Linked DNA regions of Caenorhabditis elegans. The protein of the gene in region 1 purifies or fractionates together with the protein of each later gene. This does not show direct contact. Each region holds a gene or a part of one and is shown in the gene's direction. Other genes may lie near its edges. The genes, in order: svh-1, K08D9.4 and htp-1.

The links.
Region 2: the proteins of svh-1 (region 1) and K08D9.4 fractionate together in Caenorhabditis elegans (co-fractionation; one large-scale study listed by BioGRID). This does not show direct contact.
Region 3: the proteins of svh-1 (region 1) and htp-1 fractionate together in Caenorhabditis elegans (co-fractionation; one large-scale study listed by BioGRID). This does not show direct contact.

The regions. Positions count from the first base shown.
Region 1 is NC_003282.8:8,204,614-8,208,369, forward strand, and holds the start of svh-1 (Serine protease svh-1), read left to right. Parts: upstream 1-2,000; 5' UTR 2,001-2,135; coding exon 2,136-2,227; intron 2,228-2,400; coding exon 2,401-2,642; intron 2,643-2,722; coding exon 2,723-2,890; intron 2,891-3,076; coding exon 3,077-3,153; intron 3,154-3,298; coding exon 3,299-3,564; intron 3,565-3,614; coding exon 3,615-3,756. Other genes in the region: hgrs-1 (Hepatocyte growth factor-regulated tyrosine kinase substrate), read right to left, coding at 28-214, 275-359, 416-443.
Region 2 is NC_003283.11:3,198,716-3,202,471, reverse strand, and holds the start of K08D9.4 (AB hydrolase-1 domain-containing protein), read left to right. Parts: upstream 1-2,048; 5' UTR 2,049-2,058; coding exon 2,059-2,178; intron 2,179-2,229; coding exon 2,230-2,383; intron 2,384-2,436; coding exon 2,437-2,718; intron 2,719-2,811; exon of another isoform or gene 2,812-2,832; intron 2,833-3,373; coding exon 3,374-3,591; intron 3,592-3,637; coding exon 3,638-3,756.
Region 3 is NC_003282.8:5,389,585-5,393,145, reverse strand, and holds htp-1 (HORMA domain-containing protein), read left to right. Parts: upstream 1-1,588; coding exon 1,589-1,654; intron 1,655-1,700; coding exon 1,701-1,848; intron 1,849-1,894; coding exon 1,895-2,628; intron 2,629-2,676; coding exon 2,677-2,787; 3' UTR 2,788-2,957; downstream 2,958-3,561. Other genes in the region: ZK616.5 (uncharacterized protein), read right to left, coding at 104-200, 245-318, 365-505, 556-621, 669-747, 793-855, 901-974.

The DNA.
Region 1 (3,756 bases):
AAGTGAATGTGTAGATGAGACACTAACTTCGTCATATTTGTTCTCAGTAACTAAATTCTTAAAATCTTCCATAAATTCTCGTGTCGCCACTTCTGCATGAACTTTATGCCCACAATTTTTGACACAAGCATCCAAAACGAGAAGAGTGTGATTTACGACATGCGGATTTTCATGTTGCATACGTTTTCTGATTGCTTGGAGTGATGGTTTTGCACTGAAATTTATAATTTTAAGCACTTCAGATATTGATTTCTCTAAACAAAAAAAAACTTACGGAACTTCTCCGGATCTAATCATATCTGTACACAATATAATTCCTTCCCAATTTGGCTCAACCAATGTACTGTCTGTCGCCTGGTCTAAATTATTGATTTTTTAGTACTCAATATATAATATTTTAATATTAAAAACTTACCCAGAACTCGTTGAAATTTTGTAGCCATTTTTTTATTCTGAAAAGTTAAACATTGAATTTCGGAAGATCCTTTTAAGAGAGAAAGAAGTTATAAAAGTTATAAAAAAGTTACCATTGCGTGCTGGATCTTGGAGTTAAAATTTTTAGGAATAATACTAAATTTTGATTTTTTCTTCAAATGTCCATTTACCCCAATTATATTTTTATTCATTGTTTTCTACGTGAACCGGGGGAAATGAAAATTCGATAAAACTGGAAAAAAGGGAAACATAAAAGGGGAAAATAAAAAATAAACAAATTCGATGTGGATGACTAAACGATAAGGTAGCTGGAAAAAAGAAAGAAAAACGGTGTGTTGTGAAAGAATTGATTGAACTGGGTGGTGGACCAGTCGACTGGCCAGTTTTGCGTAATAAGAGGCGCAGAGATAACATTCCTCGTGTGGACTCTAGGCCACGGCCATTATTGGCGAAAAAACTTTGAAGTCTAAATTTGATTTTAAATTAAGAAAATATCATTCGGCTGGTTTTTTATTAGCTAAAAACTAAAATGAGCCAAAAACTATCGATTTTTTAATTTTAAGGTTCAAAGCGATTTAGAGGTAAATTTATAGAATTTCTTGAAATTATAGAATATATGAAAAACTCTACATAATTGGAATACATATTATAAAACTATTAAATGAGCATTTAGAGGAACGGAAAAACTTTAAAACATCGTTTTTTATCAATTGCAACTTAAAAAAAACAAAAGAACAGATTCAGAAGAATGCGCGTGACGAGACAACGTTTTGGAAAAATTGCATGCGCCTTTAAGGTTACGGTAGTCGGAAAATTAAAATTTCAGGCCTACTTATTGCATGAAATTTCAATTATGATTTCAGGAGTACGATCTTTGAAGAAAAATAGTACTGAAATTTAAGATTTTCAAAAATTATTTTAATATATCGAACCAACTCTCAAGTGTCCTTACCTAATCAATAAAAACCATGCGAATGTAGAATATAATAGTGAGATCTACGAGGAAGTGGGAAAGGTAGAAAGCGGGTTTTCTTGAAGACAGTGTAAACTTCACTAAATTCATAGACGCTAACTTACAAGCCTGCCCTCTTAAGAAAAAAATCTTATATTGTTTCAGAAACTTCAATTTTAATTTAAAGTGATAAGTTTTGAGAAAATTTTTTAATCAAAAAAATCACCTGGTAACGACGCGTCATAATCGAAAAAATGAAGTTAAAATTTGCGATTACACAAAGTCAAAATTTAAATTCCATGAAAAGGATGTCCAACGGAGCATGCTTGATCTGGAGCATTTATCTATATAGAAATATCGTCGTCTATAGAACCTATAGGTTAAGTTTCCGGAAAAATTCATTACACTGCCCAAAAATAACTACGCCAAATTAGCAAGTTTTAGAATTTTTCATCAGCTCCTGCAAATTGCTTCAAATTCCCAAAAACAACAATCCCAATCGAAACTCCATCTTTTTTCCATTCTCCAAAGTCCCGCCCTCTTTACCAAGAACTTTTCTTCGCGCACTGATCATTTTTTGTCTGTTTCTCGTTCACTCTCACAGTCCTTATTCACTTCAAATTAGCAATCGAGATACACTTTTCCCTCTGTATATTCCATAATATATTATTGCCTAATTGACACCAAAACGAGATTTGAAACAAGAATTAGTTGAGGAGAAAAGTAAAAAGAAGACGGAAATGTTTCAATGTATATCGTCATAGTTACTATGAGAACAATACTATTTTTTGGAATCTTTTTTATTTTTATTTTTCAATGTGCTAAATGTATAGAATTAAAGTGAGTTTTTAATAAAAAGTGTTGGCAAATAATATGTCCTTATTTAAATATTTTTTTCATTGACTCAAAAACTAAACTATGATACTCGGTGGTTTTCAACAATTTTTCCACTTGCTTTAATCCACCGTTTAATATTAAAAGTATTGATTCAAAAACATAATCAATTTTTCCAGAATTTTCGAAGATCTCTTAGAAGTTCGTAGTCAATCAGGTCTCTTCTTCCCATTATGCTCTAAATCATTTCATCAAAAATACGGAGAACAAGCGTGTGCATCAATTTCCTCTACATTTTTATCTTATTCCACAGTTTCACTTCAACAGTATACATATTCAGTTGGTTGTACCACATCCGTTTGCTTCACTTTTTTGTCATCTTTTTGCAAAACTGGCGTCAAAGTGTTTTGTTCACCTAGTTGTAAGTCTCTATTTCAGAAGATTATGAATTGCATTTTTGAATAAAAACCCACAATTTCTAAAGCTTTGTAATTATTTCAGTATGTGCTTCTGGAACTCTTCAAATTGGAAGCAAATGTCTTTCAATTTCAACTGTCCCTGTTCAAGGATACTCTGAAGCAAATTATTATTGTAATCCAGCTACATTGATATCTTCTTTAAAACCAACAGAGATTGAATCAATTCGAGACACAATTTTGCCAACGTTTGGTAAGTAATGCTGCCCTTTTCAAAATTGCCTTGGTTTTTATTTACTCAACTGATTTTTTGGGGTGTTTATCGGTTGGGACAACAAGGTGAGTAATTGCGACGTGGCACTTCCTTACACTGTCTGTTGACTTTTCACTGAGAGAGTGACCTCTCCCGAAAAATGTGTAATCTCGAAAACTCTTCCAGCTGATACACGACTATTTTTGACTTCCGGACTCCGACAGGGAGCAACATGGAAATGGGGGAATGGAGATACAGTAGAAGTGAGTTGCTTTATTTTAAAAATACCTTGGGTTGCGACTTTAAAATTGTTTAACTTCAAGGAAAAATAGATTTCTGTAAAACGTACAAACCGATTATAAAAAAATTTATTTTGAATGCTCTCCTAGTACGATTTTGGTTTTTCAGCAAGAAGTAACGGGAACTGGACGTTGTTTAGCTTTACAAGCAGGCAATCTCGTGGCAATTGACTGTGATTCTGAAGCATACGTTTTTTGTGAATCTGGAAGAGAATGTATTGCGAGGGACAAAGAATATTCTGGAACTGCAAACAGAACATCTGATGGGAAAATGTGTCTTATGTGGAATGACCCAACAGTATTATTTCGAAGAGAAAGGGATTTAGAGATTTTGAATCACAATTTTTGTAGATTTGTGAATGACGCTGATGGAAAGTAAGATCATTTCGATAAAGTGAACAGGTTTTTTGATAATAATTTTTCAGAAAATCAGCGACGCCAGTTTGTTATACGAAACCAAATGAATTATCCCAATGTTACATTCCACCATGTCCAGAAAGTTTTAATGATGTCGTCCCAATTGAATCTGGTGACAGTTGCCCAATTGGTTCAATATCATGTGATAAC
Region 2 (3,756 bases), on another chromosome or scaffold:
ATACAGGGGTGGTTGGCAAACTATTTTTTCCGGCAAATCGGCAAATTGCCGGAATCGAAGCTGCCGGCAATATACCGCAATGAAATTTCCGGCAAATCGGCAAACCGGCAAATCACCCAAATTGTCGTTTTGTACAGTTTTTTTTTTGGAAATTTCAGAATTTCAATTTTAATCGGCAAAATTGTACGCATTCTATGAATGTTCCTACATCTGTTTCGAAAAGTACACAAATTCTATGAAATTATCTGAAGACAACGGGGAAAAAAATTTCAAAAAGGCGCAAATTTAAGTGTTTCGGTTTCATAAATAATTCCCTCTAAACACTTCCCGCAAATTGGTGTTCGGCAAACGGCAAATCGGCAAATAGCCTGAATTGAAAATATCCGGCAAATCGACAAACCGGCAAGTTGCCGGAATTGAAAATATCAGGAAAACCGGCAGTTTGCCGATTTGCCGAGTTTGTCGACAAAATTTGCCAAAATTGCCAAATGGCAATTGCCGCCCACCTATTGCCGGTTCAGTATTTTAATGAAACACTTCAAAATTTTAACATTTTTCAACATTTTCAGTCAAATTTTTGGTGAAAAAAATTCGAGAATCGCTGGTTTAAACCCTCACCAATAATTAAAAAATATTTGAAACACCATTGAATCCGCTCGTTGAAATTTTTAAAAGTTGTTTTTTTTTAATTTTTGAAAAATTTTACTACGATTTTTTTTTTCAATTTTAGGAAATTCATGTAGTTGCTTGAATTTTTTCCTTCCTCTTTCTGAATTTTTTTTGTATTTTTTGAAAATTCGGAAATAAAGGCTGTCAAAAAATGTAATTTTACAATAAATTGTATTCTCGCTTTTACATATTGAATTGAATTGAATTTATTACGATTGAAATCATGATAATAAACGTAATAAACATACGATAATAAACATACAGAAAACTAATAAACATACAGAAAATGAATTATCATCTGAAAAGTTGATTAGTTGGTACATGAATGTGCGGGTGTCAGGGAGATGAATAATGGGTAAAAGTATTAAACATGCATAGGACATGAGGTGCCAAAATAAGATTCATTGCGCAAGATTCATTGCGAAATAAGATTCATGTCCGAAGTTGACTTTTTTGGAATTATCGTCCTTTATTACATATATTGGTAGTTTATCTCATTTACTTTCGTTGATATAAGGTATATTTAAAGCCGATAGGTAACCAATTTCGATAATTTTTGGTTCCATATCGGCTAATATAACATACATAACATACATAACATGTGATATAACATACATATCTGAAAAGTCCCCTATTTTTGACAAAAAAACAACACCCAAAAATACCAGAAATGTCAAAAACTGCAGCGACCGACATCTTGTGAGTTCGCTTTTCCTGATATACTTCAATTGACTGGTTTAAAAACTCAGCTATCGATGGGCAAATTTTCGGCAAGTTTTCGGCATCAGGCGACCAAATTGCAAATCTTCGCAGTTGGCCAAACGTATAATTTTGTTGAACTCATATTTTAGAGCTTTTTTCAGTTTACAGTGTAATTTTTGCATTTTTCTGAATGCGAATTTTTTTTTCTCAAATTTTCACGTCTTCACACAGTTGCAACTCAATGTCAATTGTTAGACGGTTATTTTTTGATTTTCTTTTGGCCAGAAAAAATTGTCCAAAAAGCTTGTTTTTTTATCAAATGTAAAAAAAAACTCATCTAATAGTAAAGCTAAAATTTTATTCCAGTAGGGTCCAGAGTACCCGATGGGCACACCGGCCACACTCCAACTACACAGCTGACCCGCGCTTCTCTCCTCTTTTTCGTTTGGGTACGCAGTTGACGTCATATCTTCTTTCTTTTTTTACATGCCAGCTTCATGTTGTGCTTTATATTTTGTCTTTTTGATTTTCCAGCAATCGTTGTATTTTTTACGTTTCTAGTACAAAAATGGAGAAGGTCAGATTTTTTTTTCTAAACACAAATTTGATTAAATTTGATAATATCTCGTGAATAAAAATGTTTCAAATTGGTGATTTATGATACAAATTCTTTCAAGAAAATCAATAATGATTATGTCAAAAGGAGCATTTTCCACGCTACCCGCCACCGAGCCGAAGTTGTATTCAAAGTTGGTGCAGTTCCAAACCAAAAGGAGAAGATTGGTAGATTTAAATGCAGTTTATGAGGTAGGTTGACACTGAAATACTGATTTCTCAATTTAAAAGTCAGTTTTTCAGGACTCATTATCATCTGGCTCCCCATTGGGTACTGTGATTGGATTCCATGGAACTCCAGGGTCTCACAGGGATTTCAAGTATGTCAGGCAGCGATTGGAGCACATGAATATTAGATTTATTGGTATTAACTACCCAGGATTCAAGCAAACTCCAGGTAGTTTCAGTTAATTAATAAAAAACCATCAAATAATTAAAAATAAATTTCAGCGTACCCAGGTCAACACTTCGGAAACTGGGAACGAAATAGTTACTCAGAAGCTCTGTTAAACGAGCTAGATGTGCCGGGAAAAGTGATCATAATGGGGCATAGCAGAGGATGTGAGAATGCACTGATAACAGCAGCTAATCGGAAACCTCATGGACTAGTGATGGCTAATCCAACAGGGTTGAGGATTAATAAAGGGTCTCGTCCGAAGGGAAAGTTGGAGTCGCTGATTTATTTACATAAGAAATTGCCGAAAAAGATTGGAGATGCCATTTTGTATAATTGTGAGTATAAGCAAAATGAGAAATATGCCATAGGCCACTACCAAAAAATGTTTCAATGTGGTGTTTTACTACTGTTGAGGCTCGTCAAAATGCTTGAAAGTTGGATTTTTTCATAAACTTTTTCATTTTGGGAGCGTTTTTGATTAAAAAAAAAGCAAAAATCTGAAAAGTTTTCTGGATGTTGCCTACCCCTAGAGCAATTTTACGAGCTTCAGAACAATTGGAAAAATGTCCTGTAAAAATAAAATTTGAGATCGGAAATTTTCTAGTTCAAAACGCAGCAAAATTATTGGTAGTGGCTTATTTAAAGTGTAGTTTTGGCAGTTTAGGAATACGTATTTTCGTTAGACCTAAGTTTTTAAAAGTGGTGTACCGAAATCTGAGACTTTACTTTTTTAGATCCAAAATGACCCAAAACTACCAAATTTCGTAATGAGATGTTCTGAAAATTTTTCAAATAAAAGTTATGTCGGCTCAATGTTTTAGAAAAAACCCGTTTTTGAGAAACTTTCAAAACATCTCATTATGAAAGTCGATGGTTTTGGGTCATTTTGGGTCTAAATAAGCAAAGTCTCAAATTTCGGTACTCCACCTTTAAAGGATGTTCGAAATTTTCAGGGATACTTCAGATCTTATAAATTATTTCAATTTCCAGTAATGAAATTGGTTGGATTCAAAATTCATGATGGTGAAGAAGCCGTGGCGGTTATTCGAGCAATTATGAACTGTGACCTGGAAAAGCAACTGGAATACATTCTGAAATTAAATGAACTGCCCACAAAGACTATGATCACTTTTGGCGGAAGTGATCATTTAATTGAAAAGGAAATTGTTTTTGAAGCACTCAAAAAGTATCAGGGACTCGCGCATTTTGTAAGTTTTGTGATAGAAAAACTTGAAAAATTGGAAGGAATTTCAGAATTTCAAAGCGAATATCACAGAATCCGAAAAGCAGAAAATAATGGAAAGTTTCAAAAATCAAAAAGGAACATCTGTATTTATTGCAAAGGATAATCATTTTCAAAATAAGAAGCGGGC
Region 3 (3,561 bases), 2.8 Mb from region 1:
TGAGAATATGACAGATAATATGAGAATGATACATTCTTAAAATGAGGAGCAACTCAGGCATAAGAAATATGACAGATTGAGAGAAGCTGGAGAGGGAGATCATTCATGGAGAGTTGTACCAATTGCCACCTTCTTTGTACGACTTCTCGTTGTTGCAGTTAGGCGCGGTAGGAATCAATGGGTACAGATAGTAAACCCACCTGGAATGATAAATTTCAGTTAATTAATTGATTTAGATACTCACTGTGGATATACGAGTTCCTCGGATTCCTCCACAAAGCCACAAATACTCGAATCGTTCGAATTGTTGGTACCGTTCTACAAAAATACATTACAGCTAATGTTCAATGAAACTTTCTGGTACCCCATCATCGATAATCAGGTCCTGTGCGACAGGCTCGTCGATTCTTTGTCTCTCCACTTCTACTCGAGGCTGTGCCCTCTGAAACGGAATCGGCGCAACGGCGGGTGCTGTAGTTCTTGTCCTTCTATCTTGTGACAATCTCTGAAACCAAGGTTTGTCTCATAACGAAAATATGAAGAAAATAAACTCACTGGACCGGGAGTAGCCGACCGACGCGACATGCGGGATGTCTGAGCATTTCGGGACTCGTTCATCAGCTAAAACAAGAAAAATTAACTTTTTTTCGGTGTACTACAGCACTCACTATGATTTCGTCCGGATAAGATGGCCACGAGTCTGGCGATCCAAGGGAATAAGCACCTGTAGTCACCCAGTCGTACACCCTGAAGAATAAGTAAATTAGGAACATTTAAAAATTAGTTTCATACGTTTGTTGCCTGGCGACCTCACTGACTGGACCGCTCCAGATTTTGTCCCTGTATGCGCCTTTGCTGAAAAGAAAGTACTCGAAAAAATGACATTTTTTATTCAAATACCTCGGGGAGTGCTCTTCTCTTGGCTTAGAACTCCAATTCTGTCTCGTTTGATGACGTCCTCGATAGTTTGGCATCTGAAAACAATGATAAACGTTTTTTGAGCTTGAAAGGAGAAAATTTAGGCAAACTCGTCCAAAAATGAGAATTCAGACCGTTTTAAAAATAGCAAACAAGTTACAGTAATCAAAGGAGCAGTCAGTAAACTAAATTTAGGCCTCACCACGAGTTAGCGAATTTCACTTGCATTTGCGTATTTTTAAAGAATAGTACTTTTTAAAATTACCTCTAGTAATCAAATTTGTTGACAGTTTTGAAATGAATGAAAAATTTACTTTAAAATAAAAGGAAAAGCTGCATTTAGTCAAAAATTATTTGAATAGTTTTGAGCTTTTGTAATTGCGTGGCGAGACCAATGGACTTACCCAATCCGATGTACCTTTAATTTAGCATTTTATTTGCATTTTTGAAATCCTAAAATTCTTTCCTAGGCTTTCGAAATTGACGATTTTCTGTGTTTTTTAAAATTCAAATATCGTTTCCTAGTTTCGAAAATAATTTTTCGTTTTTTAGTGTATCATTTTAAGCTTGTCATTGGGTTTTTTCTTTCTTTGCATAGTATTCCTCGAGGAATTATATTATATTTCACATTTACAAACTCTTGCCTAAAAATGAGACTGTTTTTTTGCAGATGGCGCCCTTGGAAACCATCTACGACGAATCGCTCAACAAATCGGCGGATTCCATTGATGATAAGGTTTTTTTCATGGTTTTATGGCCATTGTAATTTTTTTCATCTTTAGAAATGGTCCAAACTTTTCCCAAGGATTGTCAGCGACCCGGATCGATCATCCAATTTCATGACCAGAGCAATCTACGTCGCGTTTTCGGCTGTTCTTAGGAACCGTAACATTCTTGGACAAGAATATTTCACGAAGAATTACATCACTGGTAAATGTTTTTCTTATCACATTTTATAGTAAATGTTCTTTTTCAGAAAAGCTGAAATGCATGACGCTGTGCTTCAGAAACCCACGGTCTAACCAAATCGCTCAACTACTTCGAAATGCTGGGGATGCAACAAAGGATGGGTTTCTGAAAGAAGTCTCCCTCGTGATCACAAATAATGAAGGAGATCTTGAAGCCATCGAAGTTTTCTCTATGAAGTTCATTTATTTTGAGAATGGCGGCGTGGTTGCTCGTCTGAGCACTGACAAGAATGGCCAGGAAGATCCTCACTTCGCAAAGCTTGCTCAACTTGTATACGAGGGTGGCGACAGCGTACGAGATCAAATGGTGACGATTGTTCGCAGTGTTCAGTTCCTCTGCACAAAAGTTCTCGAACCGTTGCCAGAAGAATTCACGGCTAATTTTCGATTGGAGTACACAAACGATGCTCCATCCAATTTCCGCATTGATGGCTTCGAAGATTCTTCCACTTTTTACACACTTCCTGATGATATCCAATCGGCAACCATTGGTCACTTGCGCCCAGGATGCCACGCTGCAAACATGGAATGCTGGAGCATGTTGATGTCCGATTCATACGAAGCAGAGTTGACTCTCAAGCGACACCTGGACAAAGTTTCCGATAGGCATGGATTCAATCCAGTGAATGTGCTGTATAAATCGTTTAATTCGGAGGACAGTGACACAAGTCTTAGTCAGGCCACTACTGAATCTGTCAACGATCAAGGAGGAAACGAGACTTCTCCGGTGGATGATATAACTGTTAGTTTATTAGTTTTTTACATATAAACAAAAAATTTAAAATTGTAGGAGTCTCTCGAGAAAGCACAAATGTCGCCTATCCAGACGAGACCAACTACTCGCAGAGGAGCCGATGGCAGCAAAACCAGATCGTCTCCATATTCTCGTTCCTGTAAATAATTTTTTTCCTAGCTTTCAATAGATTATAGCTTCATTCTGTAACTTGGCATGTTCTATATCATCGTGTAAAATGTTTTATTGTCTTGAGTGTTTCCTTTCTGCTCCATTATTGTATCCTTAGTTTTTTTTATTCAAATTACAGTCATTCATAAATAAATCGACTGGTGTTATTAAATAGCATGTTTCCCATGACTCCATTTTCAAGATACTCCAGTGCATTTCAGAATTTTTCAACAATTGACCAATCTAAAAAGGATTCTCTCTTTTCTTCTTCTGCTGGATACCGCTCCGAGTATCTTTCGGTAAATCTCGAAATTCTCTTTGTATTCACCATTCATGCTGACCTCGATAACTTTTCTCAAGGTTCTTTGCTAAAATTTATGTGGTTTGCAAGGGAACGTGGCGATTGTTGATTGTTGGTTTCAAGTTTTGAAAAAAAACACAGTTTATTCTACTTTTCAATGTCAGACGTCACAAAATTTATCAGAAAAAGCTTTTTTATTGCAGTGTCTGAAACAATTTTATGTAGTATTCAGGTTGATTGTAGTCGTTTTAAAGGCGCGTGCTACTTTAAATTGGTCTCGCCACGAAAACCATATATTTGTATGTTCTGTTAAAAAATCACATTCTAGCGAACAAATATCTCAATTTTCATTTAAGAAAGAGCAGTCGCGCCTGTCGCCAACAAAATGGATCGTGGCGAGACCTATCGAGAGAAAAATGTTCTTTTGAAGTGGAGTCTTCAGATTTGGCGAATTAATTCACGAATTCACG